Mus musculus: one gene and its partners. The protein of the gene in region 5 interacts with the protein of the main gene of each other region in a biochemical or structural test. Links are inferred from orthologs where the notes say so. Each region holds a gene or a part of one and is shown on either strand. Other genes may lie near its edges.

What was found.
Region 1: the proteins of Dab1 (region 5) and Lrp8 form a complex in vitro, tested with the Homo sapiens proteins (2 studies listed by BioGRID). The link is inferred for Mus musculus from reciprocal best matches to the Homo sapiens genes DAB1 and LRP8.
Region 2: the proteins of Dab1 (region 5) and Vldlr form a complex in vitro, tested with the Homo sapiens proteins (2 studies listed by BioGRID). The link is inferred for Mus musculus from reciprocal best matches to the Homo sapiens genes DAB1 and VLDLR.
Region 3: the proteins of Dab1 (region 5) and Lrp2 form a complex in vitro, tested with the Homo sapiens proteins (2 studies listed by BioGRID). The link is inferred for Mus musculus from reciprocal best matches to the Homo sapiens genes DAB1 and LRP2.
Region 4: the proteins of Dab1 (region 5) and Lrp1 form a complex in vitro, tested with the Homo sapiens proteins (2 studies listed by BioGRID). The link is inferred for Mus musculus from reciprocal best matches to the Homo sapiens genes DAB1 and LRP1.

Annotation. Positions count from the first base shown.
Region 1 is NC_000070.6:107,801,107-107,805,060, reverse strand, and holds the start of Lrp8 (low-density lipoprotein receptor-related protein 8 isoform a precursor), read right to left. Parts: upstream 2,803-3,954; 5' UTR 2,649-2,802; coding exon 2,543-2,648; intron 2,177-2,542; exon of another isoform or gene 1,943-2,176; intron 1,811-1,942; coding exon 1,691-1,810; intron 1-1,690. UniProt on the Homo sapiens protein: Cell surface receptor for Reelin (RELN) and apolipoprotein E (apoE)-containing ligands. LRP8 participates in transmitting the extracellular Reelin signal to intracellular signaling processes, by binding to DAB1 on its cytoplasmic tail.
Region 2 is NC_000085.6:27,215,545-27,219,826, reverse strand, and holds the start of Vldlr (very low-density lipoprotein receptor isoform b precursor), read right to left. Parts: upstream 2,808-4,282; 5' UTR 2,213-2,807; coding exon 2,131-2,212; intron 1-2,130. UniProt on the Homo sapiens protein: Multifunctional cell surface receptor that binds VLDL and transports it into cells by endocytosis and therefore plays an important role in energy metabolism.
Region 3 is NC_000068.7:69,583,226-69,587,200, forward strand, and holds the start of Lrp2 (low-density lipoprotein receptor-related protein 2 precursor), read right to left. Parts: upstream 2,805-3,975; 5' UTR 2,669-2,804; coding exon 2,590-2,668; intron 1-2,589. UniProt on the Homo sapiens protein: Multiligand endocytic receptor. Acts together with CUBN to mediate endocytosis of high-density lipoproteins. Mediates receptor-mediated uptake of polybasic drugs such as aprotinin, aminoglycosides and polymyxin B.
Region 4 is NC_000076.6:127,548,145-127,551,655, forward strand, and holds part of Lrp1 (prolow-density lipoprotein receptor-related protein 1 precursor), read right to left. Parts: intron 2,918-3,511; coding exon 2,801-2,917; intron 2,583-2,800; coding exon 2,463-2,582; intron 2,164-2,462; coding exon 2,041-2,163; intron 1,890-2,040; coding exon 1,764-1,889; intron 1,290-1,763; coding exon 1,173-1,289; intron 501-1,172; coding exon 394-500; intron 304-393; coding exon 171-303; intron 1-170. UniProt on the Homo sapiens protein: Endocytic receptor involved in endocytosis and in phagocytosis of apoptotic cells. Required for early embryonic development. Involved in cellular lipid homeostasis.
Region 5 is NC_000070.6:103,618,309-103,622,308, forward strand, and holds the start of Dab1 (disabled homolog 1), read left to right. Parts: upstream 1-1,191; 5' UTR 1,192-1,437; intron 1,438-4,000. UniProt on the Homo sapiens protein: Signaling adapter of the reelin-mediated signaling pathway, which regulates the migration and differentiation of postmitotic neurons during brain development.

The DNA of each region.
Region 1 (3,954 bases), about 4.2 Mb from region 5:
GTTTTAAAGACCTAAGGGGATACGATACAAGGTTTCTATTTCTGCACCCTGTCCTGTGTGCACCCCTCTAAGAAAACCAGAACAACTCCTAGGCATGAAATCCCCTCTTGATATTTTACCCAACCACAGCCATAGCATAGAACAAGGATTAGGCTAAGAACTCTGGTAGAAGATGCCTAAGACCAGGCTTCCACTTGGCAACTCAGTAGCCACAGAGCAGGTAACTCAACCCTGGAGCCTGTTTTCATCTGTAGCATAAACCTCTGTGAAGAGTGTTAGTCCACCACAGGCTGTAGTTACAACTCAAATGGGAAACTGAGGCAGTCAGGCTCTGATGCCCGAAAGTCTGGTCTAAGCTAGACCAGAGAGAACTGCCAGGCTGACCAGCAAGTGAACAGTCAAAAGAACTCAAGGAAGATCTCTGCTTGCCTGTGAGCTCCATGAGAACCAATAAGACGGCTGGGCGGGTGGAGGCATCGCAGACAAGCTGGAGGATGCTAAGTTGGAGGCAGAGACCCAACAAAGTAGGAGAGAATTGACTCCCGAAAGTTTTACTCTTATCTTCACATACATGCTTTACAAATGTACCCCACCCCAAAAAAATGTTAAACCAGGAAGCCTCAAGGACTTAACAGACTGCTCCCGAGTTGTTGCTCAGCCTCCCGTTCCTGAATGCTTGGTGTGTGCCCACCTGGTGTCCTCCACATTCTGTCACTGTGTTCCGACACTGCAGAGCCGGCCGGCCTGATCCTGTACACCTAACATCGGCAGGCAGACAGCAGGCCTCTGTAATGACAACTGAAAGGCCTCCTAGGAAGACGTGGCTAGAAGAGTGTAGGTTCTTGGTACCAGGAACTAAATTCCTTTCACAGCAGAGAACGCCTGCTGACTCCATTGCCGCTGGCCCCAAAGACACCCCTCACGCGCCCGCACAAGGGGGAACTTCCACCGGTTGCACAGGGTGTACAAAGGCCACGCTCAGCAAAGGCAGTGGGGTTAGCATTTGGCCTGCCTTCACTGCCGTTGCTCCGGTGGCTTCCAGGAAACACACTCTTCCTCCTGAGCCCCTCCTTGCTGTTGGCCCCATGACTCACACCCAGACTAGGCTGGCAGGAGGAAAACGCTCTCTGAAGGGTGACTCGGCAGAAAGGCAGCAGACTGTGACCAGGACCTGAGCCTACCACCCGGAGGATGCGCGCGGGGGTGCGGCCGGGGCGGGCCAGGGCAGGGCCTAGAGCCCTTTACAGCACACCGTCAGCCCCAGGATTGGCCGCTCCGGCCACAGGCCTATGGGGTGGTCCTTGCGCAGCCAATCAGTGGCCCCGGGGAGCCCATTCATTCATAAAACCGAGCAAGGAAAAGCCCCTCGTGGCCCGAGCTGCGTGGAACTTTGAAGTGCGCGCTCCCAGTGAGGCCCAGATTGGGGATCCGATCCATAGAGCTAAGAGGTGTGCAGGGGCTGCCGCGTCCACGCCCACAGTCTCGGGCTAGTAGCTTCAGCAAGCCGCGCTGGGCTCCACCCTAAGCAGGACACGCCTGCCACCCAGCTCCCGCCGACAGCTGAGCCACCCATCCCAGAACAAGGCCGCCAGCCTGGGGCAGGTGGCCCCATGACGGATGCAGCCACGTGCGCAGCGGAGCATGATCCCCCCCCCCCCCCGTTTCCCCTCCCCTGGTCGCCGCGACTCACGGCAGTCGTCCTCGTCGCTGTTGTCCGAGCAGTCGTTGTCCTCATCGCATCTCCACACCAAGGGAATGCAGCGCTCGTTCCGACACCGAAACTGGTCCTCTTCACACTCCTTGACTGGCCCTGCGGGGGTTGGGGGCGGTGAGCTGGGTCACTGCACAGGAGCCCGCTCCCCACCCTGCAGCCCTGGCTGCCGAGAAGTCCAGCGGGTATGGGAAAGGGGGAGATATCGGTGAGCTCTGGATCTCCAAGCACCTTAATTCCGAGAAAGGACAGGATGCCACGGGTCCTCCACTGCAGGACCGACTGATGGCACAGCGAGACCCGACAAGCGCTTAACGGCCCGTGGCTATACCCCGCCTTCAGACACATTCACCCTTACACACAACGCCAAGTCAGGTCCACACAAACCTAGTCTGCGGGAAGCCCCGCACACTGGCGACACGCACCCGGTGCAGGGGCTCAGTCCCTTCACAACCTGTCAGTCTCCTCGGCCCACAGGGGTCCCCGGAAACGCATTGTCAGAAAAGACTGTACCACTTCGCTCATCGCCGCTATGGAGCGCGCGTGTCAAATTAAACCAAACCCCAGACCCTGAAGGACTACCCCCCGCAAAGTTCACGGGCCGGGGGGGGGGTGCCCGGCGCCCATCCCCCATTAAGAGGGTGCCCGGAGCTGGGGTAGAGCTTCGGTAACCAAAACCGTGGGGGTAGCGGGGAGGAGGTCCAAGGCAAATCCAGGGAGCTAGGGTCCCCGGAGCCTCTCTATCGGGACCTCGCCGTACAGCAACCCCCACCGCCGGCCGCGCTTTGTTGGTTGGCGGCTGCGAGCCGGCCCGGGAAGCGCCGTACGCACCTTGGCCGCCCGGCAGCGGATCCGCTGCGGAGAGATGCTGAAGCTGCAGCAGCAGCAACAGCAACAGCGCCAGCGGCCGGAGCGCGCCCAGTTCTGGGCGGCCCATAGCGGGCCCGGGGCTCCGGCCGCCGCGCCCCGAGACCCCCGCGCCGCCGCCGCGCCTCAGCCCGCCAAGTCCTTGCCGCGGCGCCGGGGCTGCCGCTGCCGCCGCCGCCACCACCACCGCTGCCGCCCGCCCCGGCTCCCCGGCTGCATTTCAAGCAGGTTCGGTGACGCTCGGCGGCGGGGCGGGCTCAGGCTGGGCGCGCGGCCCCGGCCCTGGGCAGCCGCCGCCGGCGCGCGCGCTCCCTCCCGCCGCCGCCTCCGCCCCACGCTCCTCCCGCCGCCGCCTCTTCTCCTCCCCCGCCTGTCCTTGTCCCCTCCTCTCTCGGTCCGAGCCCCATGATCCTGCTCTGTGTGCGCGCAGGTGCTAAGAGCTGTAGACGCTAGGACGAGCCCGGCTAGGCTCTGGCCCCCCTGGTTTCCCCGTGGAGGTGGCAAGAGGGTGAGAGAAGGAGGCGTATGGAGGAGAGCCCGAGCTCGGGAGAAGGAGACTCACAAGCCGTTGCAGTGAACGCGCAGAGCGCGGGAAGGCTGAAAGCATTGCCAGGGAGAATCTAGGGGTGCTGGGCAAGACCTGTCATAGCTTCAGATTAGATGAGTCGCTTTCTGCGACCGTGTGCATCTGTGATTATCACTGTGTGATCCTGAGAGAGGTGAGTGTCTGGTGCACAGACTGTTATCCATATTCATCCTTCTCTGTTGGACCCCGCAGAGGAGCAGATCAAGGGCCCTGAAGACATGGCAAGGTAACCCTTGCTGCTGCAGAGAAGGGCAAGGACTGTGGAGGCCCAGATGTGTCATCCTTGCCGCCAGAGGCAGCACATCTAGTGTCTCTGGGCTCCACTAGCCTCTGCACAAAGAAGGCCCCTCCTCTAGCAGTGCGACCCCACCTCCCCTACTCTTCCTTGTCAGAAGGGCAACGCTTAGACTGGATTTCAGCCACCTGCCGGTGAGCCTGGCCCAGCAGCACAACAATCTCAGAGTGTGATTCTTGGGCACGGGTTGTAAACCAGGCCCGCGCGAGGGTGCCAAGGCCCAGTGTTAAATAGGCCCTCTCTCTTCAGAAAAAAAAAAAGGAAGAAAGAAAGAAAGAAAGAAAGAAAGAAAGAAAGAAAGAAAGAAAGAAAGAAAGAAAGAAAGAAAGAAAGAAAGAGAGAAAGAGAGAAAGAGAGAAAGAGAGAAAGAGAGAGAGAGAGAGAGAGAGAGAGAAAGAAAGAAAGAAAGAAAGAAAGAAAGAAAGAAAGAAAGAAAGAAAGAAAGGGAAAGAGAGAGAAAGCAAGCAAGCAATCGTGGAAGCTGTGATTCCTATG
Region 2 (4,282 bases), on a different chromosome or scaffold from region 5:
CTGGGGCAGAAAAATCAGTCTGCATGTTTTGGGACTTTGAACTTAGGACACTACTGTGGGTTCACTTATGGTCAACCAACTCCAAGTCTGCTGTAGTTCAGAAAGAACTGCCTCTCCCACTCTGGCTGCTTAGGTTTGTGCCTGGTTCTCTCTTCCACTTTTTACAGCACCACCATAGCCCACTTGCAGTAAAGGAGAAACAAAGGCTATCCCCACTTTCCTGATCCCAGCTCAACAACTTCTGGTGTTGGACTAGCTCCTTGAAGCAGTCTGGATGCTTTCCGACCACTCCGTAAAAAACAGCACCTGATGGAAAGTTAGCACTTTAAACATTCCAAGAATCCAAAAGGTTCTGCAGCTAAGGAGACTCCTTTCTCCCAACTCCCCGGATCACAGTCAGTAATGGATTTTATGCATTCGTGTTTTGAAATACTACAAAATATATAGCCCGAGTCAAGTCACTCTTCTGAGAGATGGTTTAATAAGTTAACATTACTCATCCATTAATGATTAATGTCAGCGTCTGAAATGTTCTGTTAAGCAGGGCTTCTCTGGGCACAGAGGTTTGTCACAGGAAGGATTCTAGCGTCACGATACCTGGGCCCTTTTCAGAGTGCAGCTGGAGAAAGCGCCAGAGGGAAAGGCCCCTCTGAGCCTGGCTGATCTTAAAGGTAACCCAGCTGGGGCAGCTCAATTAACTCCGCGTAGACACGTGACCAAGCTAAACGCAATCCAGCTACCAGCCAATCGCATGGGGCAGAAAAGCCCTGCCCAGCTTCTCACGCTCCGGACAGCGGAACCAAAGGCCCAGGGGCGCTGGGAGACTTAAACACCCCAGCATAGCTCGACAGACAGCTTGACCACACACTTGAAAGTTCGCTCTCACTCCAGGACACACGTGACCGCACGCAGGCGGGCCTTCTAAGCTACCCGGCGACAGGAGATGTGGATTGTGGACTATTTAGAGCTGGGACAGCGTTCTGCCCTAATTACCTAGAGCTGGTTGGCAAGCAAGCACTTTGGTGTCACCTCTTAAGACCTCTAAGACCTCTTCAGTGGCCCGCCAAGGATCAGACGCGGACCTTGTTAGGAAGGCATCTTATCACCTGCTCTGGAAAGTTGTGTGACCCAAGATGGGGTGCTGGAAACACACAGGGCTCCAAAGCCAGTGTGCCGACCCCCTGGGACTCGACAGTAGTCACCCCGCCCTCCCCAAGCTCCAGTCACACGCTCCAGCTCCACACCTTCGGGCCGTATTGTGCAGAATAAAGGCTAATTACAGTCACTACACTGGGACTCAGTTTCTCTGGGGGAAAGTGTTGCCCAGAATGAGGCTCGGCAAAGTAACCTGATTAAGTCTTGATCCCACTCCCCTCCCCCGTTCAGTTATCTCAGAGACCCCAGAGGTTTTTAAAAGCCGCAGTAGCTGCGGAATCCCCGGGGATGGGAGAAAGAAAAGCACTCGGAGGACAGTCCAGTTGAAAGCCACTCTTGGAGCCCGAGAGACGGCCCGGCGCCTGGGGAGTCTCAGTCCCGGGCGCAGGCTGCGTACTTGTCATGGCTCGGCCTCCAGGCTGCCGCCCACCGAACGTGCGCTTGCTCACGGCAGCGCGAGGACTCCCGGCTCGGCCGGCACCTGGCGCCCGGTGTCCTCGGAGACGCCCACCTTCACCCACTGTGCGCTCTCAACCCTGCTTAAGTCTGAGGGGCGCACTCGGGCTTCCAGGCCCCGTGCTCTGCCACGGTCCTAACAGCCCGCCTGGCAGAGGAGGCAGAACCATTGTTCAGTGGCTCCAAAGCCCACATCCCCTAGCCCTTGTCAATGGGGGGTGAAAACCATGTAAAACAGAGGTTCTGGGAAGAAGGGGGACACAGAAGAATGACAACAAGTTCAAGGGACGCTTTAGGACACCCTAAACCCCACCGTCCCCCGGGCCTGGCTCCCAGTAACCTCGGCTCTGACAGCTCAGAGGCGCCACCCGGGTGGGGAGGGGAGGCAGGAGAGGAGCGTGGAGAGGCGCCTGCTAGGAGGGGATGGGCAAGAGGAGCCCCGGGGTCCCCCAGAACGCGGCGATCGCGGACGCCTCGGCTTGTTTCGGGCCGAGTGCGGAGGGGCGCGTCCCCACTCACCGCTTGCAGTGGCGCCGCTGTCCCGGGGCGCCCAGCACAGCGCGAGCAGCAGCCACAGCGCCCAGCGCGCGGACGTGCCCATGCTGCCCGCCCGGATGGTGCCTCCGTCGCGCCGTCGTTGTCGCCGTTCGCTCCGCACAACAAGTTACCAGCCCTTCGGAGAGGAAGAAGGAGGTGGGGGCGGGGAGGGAGGAGACGAGGAGGAGGGGGAAGGAGTGAAGAGCCGGGAGCACGGAGAGCACGCAAGGAGCGGGCACCCTTTCCCTGCAACTTGCACACTCTACTCCCCGCCAGCCACCCACCCAACCACCCACCCGGTCACCTCCCCCGCCGCGGCCGCGGTGTGCGCGCGGACCCTGCGGGCGGAAAATAATGCAGGCGTTGCAGAGAAGGGGAGGGAGAGGGGAGGGAACGGCGCGGGAGGAGGGGGCGGGGAGCCCGTTCGCCACCGAGGACAGCTCAAGTGAGCGGTTTGGGGGCAACCACCCGGGCGGCCGCAGGAGCGCGGCCGAGCGGCGCGGGGACCCCAGCGGGGGAGCTCAGCCCAGCAGCTCAGGCACGCACCGCTCTCCCGCGCGCAGTGAGGAGGGTGCGGGGGCAAGTGGCAGCGTGCGTGCGTGAGTGGCTGGGGCTGGGGCTGTCGCCGCCGCCATCCGGATGGCTCCAGGGGCTCGACTGCTCCGCGCGTTGGCCCGGGGCTCACGGGGGACCCGGGGCGGCCGCTGGTTGGCTCGCGCACCGTCCTCACCTCCAATCCCGGGTGCCTGTCCTAATTTCCTGATCCAGGGAACCTGCGGCCGCAGCAGCTGTGCGCTCCCTAGCTCCCTACAGTTGCTACTGTACCCTCCTGGCGCCTTGGCTAGGAGCGCTGATGCAACTATTGCTGCTCTTGCCACCGCCTCCAGGCTTGATGGGGCTGGCAGTTGAGGGGTCTGGGGGGCAGCAAGGAACCCTTTTCCTCCCTCTCCTGAGCCCCTAGGAAGGGCTGATGTAGTGAGGTCGGTAGGTAGCATCTTCCGGGGGACTCTTCTTTCCAACCTGAAAGTGATGAAGAGGAGGGGTGCGAAAGCTCCGCTGTTCTGCTGTGGGGTTCGGAGTCCCATCTCAATGGCAAGCTGAGATGCCATTTTGTTAAAAATTAAATGTGGCTTTAAGTAAGAGTGTGTGAAAGAGAAAGAGAGAAAGAACAAGAGCGCTCCCGCGGTTGTGGCTTGTCCTCTGTAATAGAACAAGACTAAAATAACCGAGTCTGGGATGGGGAGGAGGGAAATTGCCAGCGCAGCTCTGCATTCTCTCATCAACGATTAGAGTTAATTGCTAATTGCACAAAATGATAGTTTGAGGGCCTGTAATTAAAAGCTTAACCTTTTTCTGGTTGGAGGAAGGGGACCCCGGTAGATTTATTCTTGGTATAGTTTGTAACGTTCAATTATAAGCATTGTGGAGGGAAAGAAGTCAACCCTCCCAGAGAGGATAGATTGGAGGGAGGTGGGTGCCAGACAGGACCTAAGTTTATGGTTTGTTCTTAGTGTACTTCAGTTTTCTTGAACACATCGCCTTGGTTGAGATGCTTTCTGTGGTATACCACAGATTTTTCCAAATTATTTCACCTGTTAATATGTGTGTATGTGCTTCTGTTTTATAAGTTGCTGTACCTCGAATGAATCAAAGTTGACAGATTTCAGATTCCATGTCCTAGCTTCCTTCTGGCATTGTAATGTCACCTTGGTTCTCTTGAGCAGTTCTCTGGGGACAGTCTACTAGGAGAGATGTTCTCATGTACCCAGGAGACCCTGGGGGTAATTCTCAGCCAGGGTACATTTTGATCGGTGTAATTTAGCCTCATTGTGATGGATAATCTCACATGCAGATGGGGTCTTTCAAAGCTGCTCACTGTGGATGCTGTTGTGTATAATCAGAGGGTAGGAGATGGGCGGAAACTGCATGGTGAACACGTGATCACAGCCAGTACCAGTCCACAGACCAAGTTTGAGGGGGATGGTCTAACTTTCGTATCCCTGGGGCTTGAAAAGCTCATAGTCACTTTACACCTGATGAAATGGGTGGGGGACATAGGTGAAGTCAATAAATAGTCAATATGAACAGGCTCCATAGTTAACTGAGACGTCACAAGCTTGTTTTCAATGTTTTA
Region 3 (3,975 bases), on a different chromosome or scaffold from region 5:
CAAAAAGAATTCCAAGCATAGGAACAGAAGACCACCTTGAAATAAATACAACAGCAAACAAGGTTGCAGAGACCAGAGTTAGAAAAAAACAAAAACAAATGTAGCCTGTGTATTACAGGTCCCACTCAAGATACAATCATCACAAAAGGCATAACCAAATTGGTATTGGATTAAAGAATTTAAGTGGGGGACAGATTCTTAAAAAATGAAAAGGAAAGAAAAAAATCACTTCAAAATGCATTTATCAAAATGATTTATCAGGAAAATGCTCGACGCCAAGCCTGACCACTTGAACTGCATTCTGGGATCCACACTACTTTCCACATGTTTATGATATGTGCACTCGCGTGCACGCTTACACACACATGAATAAAGGCAAAATTACATTTTGTGTGTGTGTTTGGAAAAGAAATGAGACCAGAAGATCACAAACAGCCTGAGTCATAACTTCAGGCCAGCCTGGGCTAAACATGGAAACACTGGTTCATTTTAAAAAAAATTAATTACAATAATCAAATAGCAAAACTAAAAATGGTGACACTTGGGCTCTAGTTTGTTACCCAGAATGCCAGGGCGGGCGATGCATGCCATCAATCCCAGCACTCAGGAGGCAGAGGCAGGCAGATCTGAGTTCCAGGCCAACCTAATCAACAGAGCAAGTTCCAGGACAGTCAGGACTACAGAGAAACCCTGTCTCAAATAAATAAATAAACAAACAAATAAACAAATTCCTGAAGAATATATACACATGTCATACACGTGTATGTGTGCATGTATGTATGCTTGTATGTGCTCTCAGCCATATGTTAGGTGATTATTGCATTATCCGCTAAAAACTTGAAAAATGCTTCCCACTTTTTCTCCGTAATTCACATGGATGAGAACTTGAGGAAATCTAGGTACACAGTATTTGGTGACACCAAAAAACAGGGAGAAGAATGCATGTTCCGGTGGTAAAGGGACATCAGCTCAAGAATGTAAGCAACCTTTCCCTCCAGACAGGAACAGAAAAGTACACTAAACCCTAGGGCTATATTTAGCGCATGATATATAACCCTAAGCACTCTCCCTACCGCGGGCGCACACACAATATAACAGTAAGTCTCCTTTCTGCGTTTCCAATACTGTAGAAAGGTGTTCAAAGGAAGAACTGTTAGACATCTTCTCTTGCCGCCCACCCCTCCTTTTCGAAAGATTTTTGCAAAGCCTGGTGGATTTGTTGGCGCTCCCAAACTTCCCAGGAAGTCTGAGATGGGTGCTGCCTGGAGCTGCTGTATAATTACTTACTTGATTCCCTCTAAGGAGCTTACGCTAAGAATTGAGGAAAGAAAGCAGATTAACCATTTGAATACATGCCACGGCCCATCCACAAGCCCTCCCCTCTCTCCTCTCTATAAATGGGGGCTTCCACAGTCCTCACCCATCAACCCCAATATGTGATCTAGGGAAATCAATTTATTGCTTTGACTAATCCTGCAACAATAGGGGTTTCATTTTTATTGTAGGGCAATTAAGTTGTCCGACGGGAAAGAGCGGGAGGGGAAGTGGGGACTGGCCCATCCCCACAGACAGATTAGTCCCTGCAGAGGCTGCAGCGTCCGTTCTGTCTGTCTGGTGGTCGGTCACACGCAGCACCAGGCTGCTACCTAGCAACGAAAGCCAGGGAGAGAGCTCGTGGGTTCTCCTTGAGTCAGTCTCTCTCTCTCTCTCTCTCTCTCTCTCTCTCTCTCTCTCTCTCTCTCTCCCTCCCTCCCTCCCTCCCTCCCTCCCTCCTTCCTCACTTTGCTTTCCCGTTTTCTCCATTCCTTTCAACTTGTCTCTCATTTTCTTCTCTTATAGTTTTCTATTCTAAATAATTTCCTCCCTTTCCTCTCTCTCCCTGTTTCACGGGGAAGGAAAAAAAAAAAACCTCCCGGACAACTTGAAAAAGTTTGTAGTCACTTTAGAAACTTTCTGCATTCCAGTCCCCAAACTCAGGCGCAGCTAACCAGCTCCATTCATCAACACAAAAGCACCCGCTCTGGGTAGGAAAGGGAAAGCCTTCAAGAAAAGTACTCTAGTGTATCAGCCGCTTCCTCTGCCAATCCCACCTCCCCGCCTTATCTGGGCTCGTAAACGATCGGTATCATGAGATGCGGTCTCATGGGGGTCACCGCGGGACAGGGTTTCGCCACTGATGGAAGGAGGCTCTGGCCGGCGGCCCCTGGCGCACGGTGGGATCGGATCTCCCGCGCCGGCTGGACGCTGCAGGTGGAAAGCGGCGCTGGGAGCGGCGTGGAGGACCGCCCCGCCCCAGCCAGAAGAAAGCTGCAGACCCACGCGGGAGACCCTCGTACTCCAGGTTCCATCCTGGAAAGCCTTGAGGGTCAGGACTAATTCCCGTGGGAACAAAGGCACGATAGCCGTGGGACGAGCTGTCACCGAAACCGGTGCGTCCGCGTTCCCCAACCAGTACAAGAAGCGGCGCTGCAGTCATCTCTCCTGGGGTCACCGGAGCGCTCAGCCGGAGCAGCTCCGCAGCCGCCCACCCTCGTCCGGCTCAGCTCCGCAGCGACTATGGTGGCGTAGCGCGGGCAGGTGACCGCTTACCTTGGCCACTGACTGGCGCCAGGCAGGCAGCGATCGCCAGCAGCAGCATCCATGCCGCCGCCGCGGCCCCGCGCTCCATCGCGGAGACGGCCCCGGGCCTCGCCGTTCCTTCCCCGGGAGGTGGGCGCGCGTCGCAGCGGGCACAGGCAGGTTACTCCGCTCCGGAACAGGAGTCTTGCTCAGCAGCAGTCGCTGGCTCCTAGAGGCAGAAAGCCGGTCCCGGCGCCTGAGGCATCCCGTTTTCTACCCGCGCCAGTCCCCACCCTCCAGACAGTGCATAAAGCCCTCTAGACCAGACCGCCCCGGAACTAGCATGCGGGAATCCAGTGGGCCAGGCCCCCTACTGCCCGGCCCGCCCCCTGCACTTTGCGACTCTGGGAGGAGTGGGCCCTCGGACACTTGCGCGCTAGCACATGCACACTCCACAAGCGCGCTCGCTCGTGCATGCTCTCACCCAGGAGCACAGGCTCCGGGAACACAAAACTGCCTCCCACGCTGGCGAGCGCCCACCCCTCGCTCGCACGAGCACACACACTCCAAGGTCCTATTCAATCACTGACAATAATCGCCGCTGCTCACATTCGGAGCAAGGGCTTGGCCTCGCCACTCAGAGGGATGGCTAGACGGGGCGAGGAAGAAATTGGCCACGGACACAAACTCTAAAACGTTATCACCGGTGGGAAGGAATGGAGAAAGGGGGGAAGTCAAGAGCAGCGACTAAAAAAAGAAAGAAAGAAAGAAAGAAAGAAAGAGAAAAGATGAAAAGGGAAAGAAAAAGAACAAATGGGGAAAGGGGAGCAAGGAAAGGGGAAGAGAAAGAAGGGGGAAGAAAAGAAAAGGCAGAGGGTGTTTTAGTGCGGGTCTTTCATCTCAACACTCGGGAGACAGAGACAAGTGGATCTCTGTGAGTTTGAGGCCAACCTGGTCCACACAGTTCCAGGACAGCCTGGGCTATGTAGAAAGAACCTGTCTCAAAAAGAAGGGAAGAGGGAGGGAGGGAGGGAGGGAGGGAGGGAGGGAGGGAGGGAGGGAGGGAGGGAGGGAGGGAGGGAGGACCAGAAAAAAGCTGGACAGAGCCAAGCCGCCTGACCTCCTTGCCTCGGTGTGAACTCGCTAAGCTGCCTCGGGGCCCTCCTCCCCCTGACAGGGTGCAGGCTACCCAGATGGGGTAGCTTGTGTTTTTATAGTCAGAGAGGAGATTCTATCATTGCTCTGGAGGCCATAACTATCTGGCTCCCCAAGCGTCAGGTGTCAGTCATGCCAGACAGCGTCTCCTACAGTTCTGTTCATTTCGAAACAAAACTTGGGGGAGGGGTTGTTTTCTCCGCAATGCCAATAATGAGAGAAACACCAGGAATTCGGGAGAACTCTATGGTTCCCCTCGGG
Region 4 (3,511 bases), on a different chromosome or scaffold from region 5:
AGTCTTGTCTACTGCTCCAACACTAGGTCTATGCCTGGCTTGCAGTATATGCTTAATAAGGGTTTGTTGCAGTACCAACAAATGGCTGAATTAAAAGATTAAACTGGGCCACACAGTGGGCTGGGGAAGGCAGGGAGGGTGGAGGCACCAGGATGAAGGGGCTCACTCACCCCCAGTGCCACAGGCTTCCTCGTCACTGCCGTCCATACAGTCAGCATCCGCGTCACAGCGCCAGCGCAGGGGGATGCAGTGGCCACTCTTGCACTGGAACTGGTCCATATCACAGCGGGGGGTGCAGTCTTTCTGTGGGCATGGGGACCAGCAGCCCAATCAGACCCTTGGGGTCCTGCCCTAATTCTTCCGAGACCACCCCTTTCCTCGAGCTCTCCTCACCTCGTCTGAGCCGTCGGCACAGTCATGGTCCCCATCACACTTCCAGCGCCCAGCGATGCAGCGGCCATTGGCACAGGAAAACTCACTCTCAGAGCAGGGCCGAGGTGCTGAGGAGAGACAGGTCCCAGCAGGGTGGGCACAGGGCATCTCCAGCCCTCAGAAATACTAACTCCCAAGCACAAGGCTCATCCCTACGTCCGTCTGTGAAGAGGCCACAGCCGACTGGTGTAATGATTGAGACACTCAACCAATGGCGGACAGTGTTTAACTGGCTGTCCTCACGAGACTGGCTGGGTCAGGAGGGTACTCACACTTATCCTATTAGGTACAGACACATGGGAGAGGGCACGGGTCCCTGGTCCTGTCCTTAGGACAGATCACTTAGGGGAGGGAGGGGAGAACAAGACCACCGAGACAAGCGCCAGGTCTGGGGAAGAGGCCAGTTAAGGACGGTGGGCAGAAAAGCACAGCACAGGGATGGGCGGGGCTCCAGGCAGAGGCAGAGCTGGCAGGAACAGGGGTACACCAGAGACACCTACCTCTGCAACCCCAAGAGGACAGTGTGAAAATGGAGAGAAACATGAGATGAGATGAAATGTCACAAGCTCAAGTACAAGGACATAGAGTAGGGTAGAGCGCGGCTGAGGGGTGCCTGACCCCTTGCCCTTGGAGGCCACCCTCTTGCGCGGGGTGGGGGTTAGAAGGGGTGAGGTGCTGAGGAGGGAGATGCCAAGGCCTGGGAAAGGAAATGATGGGGCAGGGTAAGGCGTAGGACATACTGCAGCTCTCCTCGTCCGAGTTATCTCCGCAGTCGTTGTCGTAGTCACATTGCCAACGGCCTGGGACACAGCGGTTGTTTTTGCAGCGGAACTGGTATGGCTCACAGGTGCGCTCATCTGGGGGAGGCAAGATGTGGAGGCAGATATTGGGGCGGTCAGGGGTGGAGTGGGCGGCAGATGTTAGAGTCTAGGGTAGACAAGTGAGACCGGCGGCAGAGAGAAGGTGGTTATTGCCCCCCGAAAGAGATTGCTCTGGGGCTCAGGCAGTGATAATTGCCGTGTGGTATCTACAGGAGGTTCTGGGGAAGGCCAGCAAAGTGTTTGGGGAAGGCAGCTGATTTGGGGGGGTGGGACAGGTGAACAGGAGGGTAGAGATTCTGCACAGTTCTCTTCTGAGGGGCAGAGAGGGAGAGGAGCAGGATTCAGAGGTGGTGGGCACTGCAGGGGAAGCTTCCTTCCCGTGTCAGCTCTATGGGGTCCACAAGAGCCCCACGCTGGGTCACGTCGAGGCTCCGCCCAGAGAGGTCAACCACTGAACTTCTTTCTACCCAGAACCCCAAACACCCATCCTCTCAAGATGGCTGGGCTTACCACACTCTTCCTTGGGCTCATCTGAACCATCCCCACAGTCATCTTCTCCGTCACACTTCCAGCGCGCGGGGATGCAGCGGCCAGAATCCTTGCAGCGGAACTCATCCACTCCACAGGTCATTTGGGCTGCAAGGCATCGGCATGGGTGAGGAGGAGTCGTCCCCACCAGAGAGCCACTGGGCAAGGGTACGGCAGCCGAGGGAGGGGTCTGTCTGCCTGGGTAATGGAGCCACAGAGGCCGTGAGGAAGGATGGCCCAGGGGCGACGGACAACTCACTACAGTTGGCAGGCTCATCACTGCCGTCCACACAGTCATTATCCCTGTCACAGACCCAGACGCGAGGGATGCAGCGCTTGGTGATGGAGCACTGGAACTGGTTGGGGGCGCAGGTCACCTCAGCTGCAAGATGGAACAGAGAACGAGGACCTTACCCTTTATCTCCTCACAGCTTTGGTCCCCCACGCGCTCCCCAGAAAGCCTGGCCCTGGTCTCAGTCAGGAAGGAATAGATTATCCCCAGCCTGGATCTGCAGACTGTCCATACCGAGCACAGTGTTTTTACGAGCAAACCAGGAAATGTCCAATGTGACTGATGTCCCCCGCTAATAGAGCTAACTCAGCGCCTCTATGGGAAGCAGTGGGCAACAACGGTGTGTGCCAGCTACGTCCCCCACCCACTTCCCAGAACCTGGCACATACGGCAATCCCGCTCATCCTCGCCGTCCCCGCAGTTGTCCTGCCCATTGCAACGGAAGATGCCAGGAATGCAGCGGTTGGTGTTGGTGCACTTGAATTGGCTGGGCAAGCAGACGTGAATGTCTGGGAGAGGGAGAAGGAGAGGGAGAGGGAGAGGGAGAAGGAGGGAACTCAGGGCGGGCAGGCAGGTGCCTCCCTGTCCCTTGTAGAGGATGGGTGGACTGCGGTCCTAAGCCCAGAAATGTAGCCTAGAGAGAAAGCTGCTGCAGGCTGGCACATCCTCACTCTCTGAACCCCCAAGTGCTGCGGAAGGAATGGTTGGTATCTAGGCAGCTCCTTACCGCAATTGGCCTCATCACTATTGTCTTGGCAGTCATTGTCCCCATCACAGATGAAGGCAGGGTTGGTGCAGATGCCGGTGGAGCACTGGAACTGGCCTGGGCGGCACTTGAACTCGGCTGCCGAGAAAGGAGACTCAGTGTTAGGAGTAGGAGATGGGTTCAGCAAGATGGCCTGGTGGGTGTTGCCACCTAAGCCTGATCCTCAGAACCCAGTGAGGAAAGAGAAAGCCAATTTCTGAGAGTTTTCCCCGGACTGTCATACATTTCACCACAGCATGTGCATGCCTGCACTGGCAAATGCACACTGCACACATGCAGGCACTCAGGCACACACACACACACACACACACACACACACATACACATACATGCAGGCACACACAGACACGCACTCACATGGGCACACACGGCACACACATACACATGCACACACAGATATACACATACACACAGACACACATTCACACAGACATACGTGCACACACACATGCACACGTAGGCACATCCACAAAAGCACATACATGCACACACACATGCAGGTACACACATGTACACAGACACACAGACACATAGGCACACACACAAATGCAGGCACACACATGCACACAGACACACACACACATAGATATACACACATGCATGCACGCACACACTAAAAAAGAAAGAGCAGGGAGCAAATAGGCCACTGAGGTCTCCATCCCTTGGGGGCGT
Region 5 (4,000 bases):
CGGTTGTTGTTATTGTGATAAAACACTGACCAAAGCCAACTTAGTGGTGTTACTTCATCTTATAGGTTTCAGTCCATCATTGAGGGAAGTCAGAGCAGGGACCTGGAGTAGGAATGGAAGCACAGACCATAAAGGGACTCTGCTTACCTGCTTGCTCTCCATGGCTTGTTCAGCTTACTTCTTAGACAACCCAAGACACCTGCCCAGAAGTAGCTCCACTCACAGAAGGCTGGCCTCTCCCACATTAACCCTCAATCAAGAATGTGGCCGGAAGACACGCCCACAGGCCCATATAATGGAAGCAACATCTCAGTCTGAGGGTCTCTCTTCCCAGGTGACTCAAGTTTCGTGTCAAGTTGACAAAAGCAAGCTAAGTAGCATCTCCAGTCACTTCACATTGCATGCCACCATCTATTTCAATCTTGGTGATCAATACCACTCAACAACTCTTCTTGATTTACTTATTTTCTGTGTCTTCACTGGAGAGAAAAGTCCAAGCCAAGCTGTACTCTACTCTATAAAATAGGGATTGGCATAGAACCGAGGTACGCTCACGGCAAATATTTACTGGGTTGTTGCTGACAGTTGTTGAGGGAAGGCAGGCTTGCATTGGAAGAAGGAAGAAATTAAGCTTTGTTTAGGGAGTTCCACTCTGTTTATCTCATTATATTCTCACCACAACCTCACAGAAAAGCTCATCTGATTCCCATTTTATTGATGAAGCAACAGGGACCCAATCCTCTGGTGCGGGCTGCCTCTCTCAGTGCCCACAAGCCTGCTCCCAAGGCGGCATCTAGAAACCACGTGCAATCAGGAGGGTGCCTCTGTAGCAGTAACCTCCCGTGCAAAGACCTTCCCTGGGAAGTGGCAGTTGGAAATGAGTTTCCATAATAAACCTCTGTTGCTTGCCCTAAAGCTCAGACATTCTAGGGAGCAGAGAGCCTAAGGAGAGCGCTGCGGGGAGACCAGTGATGGTTATAGACGATGCTGTGGTGATTTAGGAGGGAGTGGCAATTGGGTGCTGAGGGTCCTTTCCTGAGCAGAGCCCACACTGTGGCCAGGTGCAGCCAAGCCACTCTTGCCGGCGCTCGTATCCTTAGTTAGGTGGCGAAATGCTGATGGGCTCTCCTATTCGGGGGAATGCGGTAGTGATGTATAAGGTATGAAAGATGTGGCCTGCAGAGAGCCGGCACTATCTCTACTGCTGCTGCTGCTGCCACCGCTGCCTTTGCTGCCGCCACTACTGCCGCCACTAGAGCTGCCGGGAGTGAGCCTCCCTTCTTCCAGATACCCAGCTCCGTTGCATCTCCCGCTCCCTGGCCCCGCACGGACCTCCCCGCCCCAGGGAACAAAAGCAGAGTCCGGTCGCCCTGTTCTGCAGCCAGAGGATGATGTGTCGAGAGGGCTGAGCAGAGTGTGGTCTTCAGCGGCTGGAAGGTAGGAGAGGGTGTTGCGCCTGGCGGCCGCGGCGTGGAAAGCTAGGGTGGGCGCGCCAGGGCAAGGATGGCTTCAGTCGTCCAGCCGTCGGGTGGGCGCCTCATGGACCCTGCAGGGTGGTGGTCTGCAGCGCCGCGGCCGCAATGCCCACTGCGGGCCGAGAGTCGCGTTCCCGCAGCCACGAGGGAGCCCCTGCATGGGGACTGGAGGCGGAGGAAAGAAAAGTCTGAAGCCCAAAGCCAAGCGGTGGTGGCTGCAGAAGGGCTGTCCGCAGCTCTTGGACTTGGTGGCGCGTTTCGCCGCGCTGAACGGCCAGGCGGCGGCCGCAGTGTGCGCAAAGTTTTGGGTAGCGCGCAAAGGCGCAGGCAAGGGCCGCGCACAGAGGGGCAAGTTGTGGCCAGAGAGCTAGGGCGACCCTCAGGACAACCAGCGGGGTTTGCCTAAGAAGGGGACAGGTGGATTCTGCTCCCCTCCAGCATAGAGGAGACTGGGTTGGAGCGGCGTCGTTTTAACCCTTTGGTCCCCGGGGGAAAACAACTTCATCCGTGTTGGAGCCTGCTGGACCCTGGCCGCTTTGAGGCTCCTGGTTTGATCCTCCTGTGGCCGTGCGCAATTCTCTGCTTCTGTCGCGTTTTCATTTCTAGCCTCTTAGGTTTTAGCTGGCCTGGGGTCTTTCCCTAGGTCTGTATCCCTTGGACCATTGCGTACATGTTTCTCTATCTCCTCGCTAGATTGACTCTTGGATGCTGCTTTGAAAAATGAAATGATTAATCAATTAGGTTAGTGGTCAATTAGGCATAACCTTGTAGGAAAATAATTATGTCGGGCTCTCAGCTTCCACCGGTGATGAGGTGGGAATCGAGCCCAGGTACGGGGGCTGTTCCCAAATAATAGTACTGGGGCGGGGGCGGAGGGGGGGGCGGTTGCGTTCTGGAATTTAAAATTAAGAGGATGGTGACCACCCACCAAGGTGGTGGGAGTCAACGGAGGAGTGTGTGTGTGTGTGTGTGTGTGTGTGTGTGTGGTGTGGTGTGGTTTGTGTGTGTGTGTCTGTGTGCGTGCGCGCTTGCTTCAGTTTTTGCTGAGAAAATTAACCCTTGACAGACTAGTCTGGGTAGACTTTTCAGGCAACATGGTGTATCCAACGGCTTGAAGGAAAGGTGTGTCCCCTTGCATGCCTGACCCCCTAACACACACACACACACACACACACACACACACACACACACACCCTTCCAAGCGGCTCCCTCTGCGAATCGCATCACCTCGTAGTGGCTTTGCTGAGCTTCGGGAGGCTGAGTTTAGGGGACTGCCTCTTAGTTTCATGTAGAAAGAATCGCATCATTGCAGACAGAGCTTTCTGTACACTGCTTAGCAGAACACATATCTCCCCCGATTGTGTTAAATAAAACCGTTATTAAATGGGAGCAAAAGGGAGACAATCTGTTTCCAGGGCTGGGAAGTTCTGCTGCATAGTGAGGCTTTTTTTTCCCCCTTTCTTTTTTGGAACCACTGGTGGGGTTTGGCACTGCAGTATTACAATACAGCCATATTAAAAAGGTCTTCAGAGCTTAGAGCCCTCCACCGCCGCAGGCTCCTCTTCTATACACTTCCATGATCAACAGCTCCTTTGCAGGGTGCATGCAGTGGATTCCAAAGGCAACGTGCTTTTTAACCCCTTTATGTGTCGAGCTTAAGCTGCTTCTGTCTGTTTAGGCACCTGCTTATAAGGTAGTAGAATCCTATTCAGAAGGCAAAAACCTGGAGGTGCGTCCTCAGATAGACAAGATTTTGCAACAGGTCCTATGTTTGAGGTTTCGAGTAATGGATCCCTTTGGCGTTCGATGTCAGGGCTCCCTTCTCTAGCGGTGATGTGATGAGGGCTGGACCCAGTGGTCTCACAGCGCCTGCAGTGCTGACAGTAGCTGGTTCTGAATTTTATGGCTGCCCCCCTCCCCACACCCCCATTGCTGTGCTGGATGGGAGGAGTAGCTGGCCAGTACACTGTGACAGCAGGGCTACCTCCTTCTGAGTGCAGAGAGAGAGGGTAGGCTGGGGCTGGCTGGGGCTGGCTGGGGCTGGCTGGGGCTGGCTGGGGCGACTTAGCAAATAGGAATTGGTCAGCTAGAAGAGTGCCTAGTGATACTGGTATCCAGGGGCAACTGCTGGCCATAGTGGCTACCCTTCAGCACTTGCAGTTTGTCGAGATTTTTTCCCCCTAGAAGTTGGACTCAGCCAGTTGCTTTGCAGTCATGATATTTGTTGTAGATTCTGGTACTAGCCAAGACCTTGCTCTTTTTTCTAAAATTGACTTTTTTTTTCTTTAATAGTAGGAAGAGATATGGGAAGAGAAAGAGGAGAGAGGGAAAGAAAGATGCAAAGGGGTGGGGGTGGCATGGCATTGGTGAGAAGAGACAGAGGAAGCTCAAGATTTCAGATATGCCAGAGAGTGGGAAAGAGGTGGGGAGAGAAGTCGGGAGAAGGGGATTTGGGGACAGGAACAGAAAACAGTAACATTAGCACCAAGACAACAGTGCTTGTATGAAGCAAGTCTTGTCCTGTC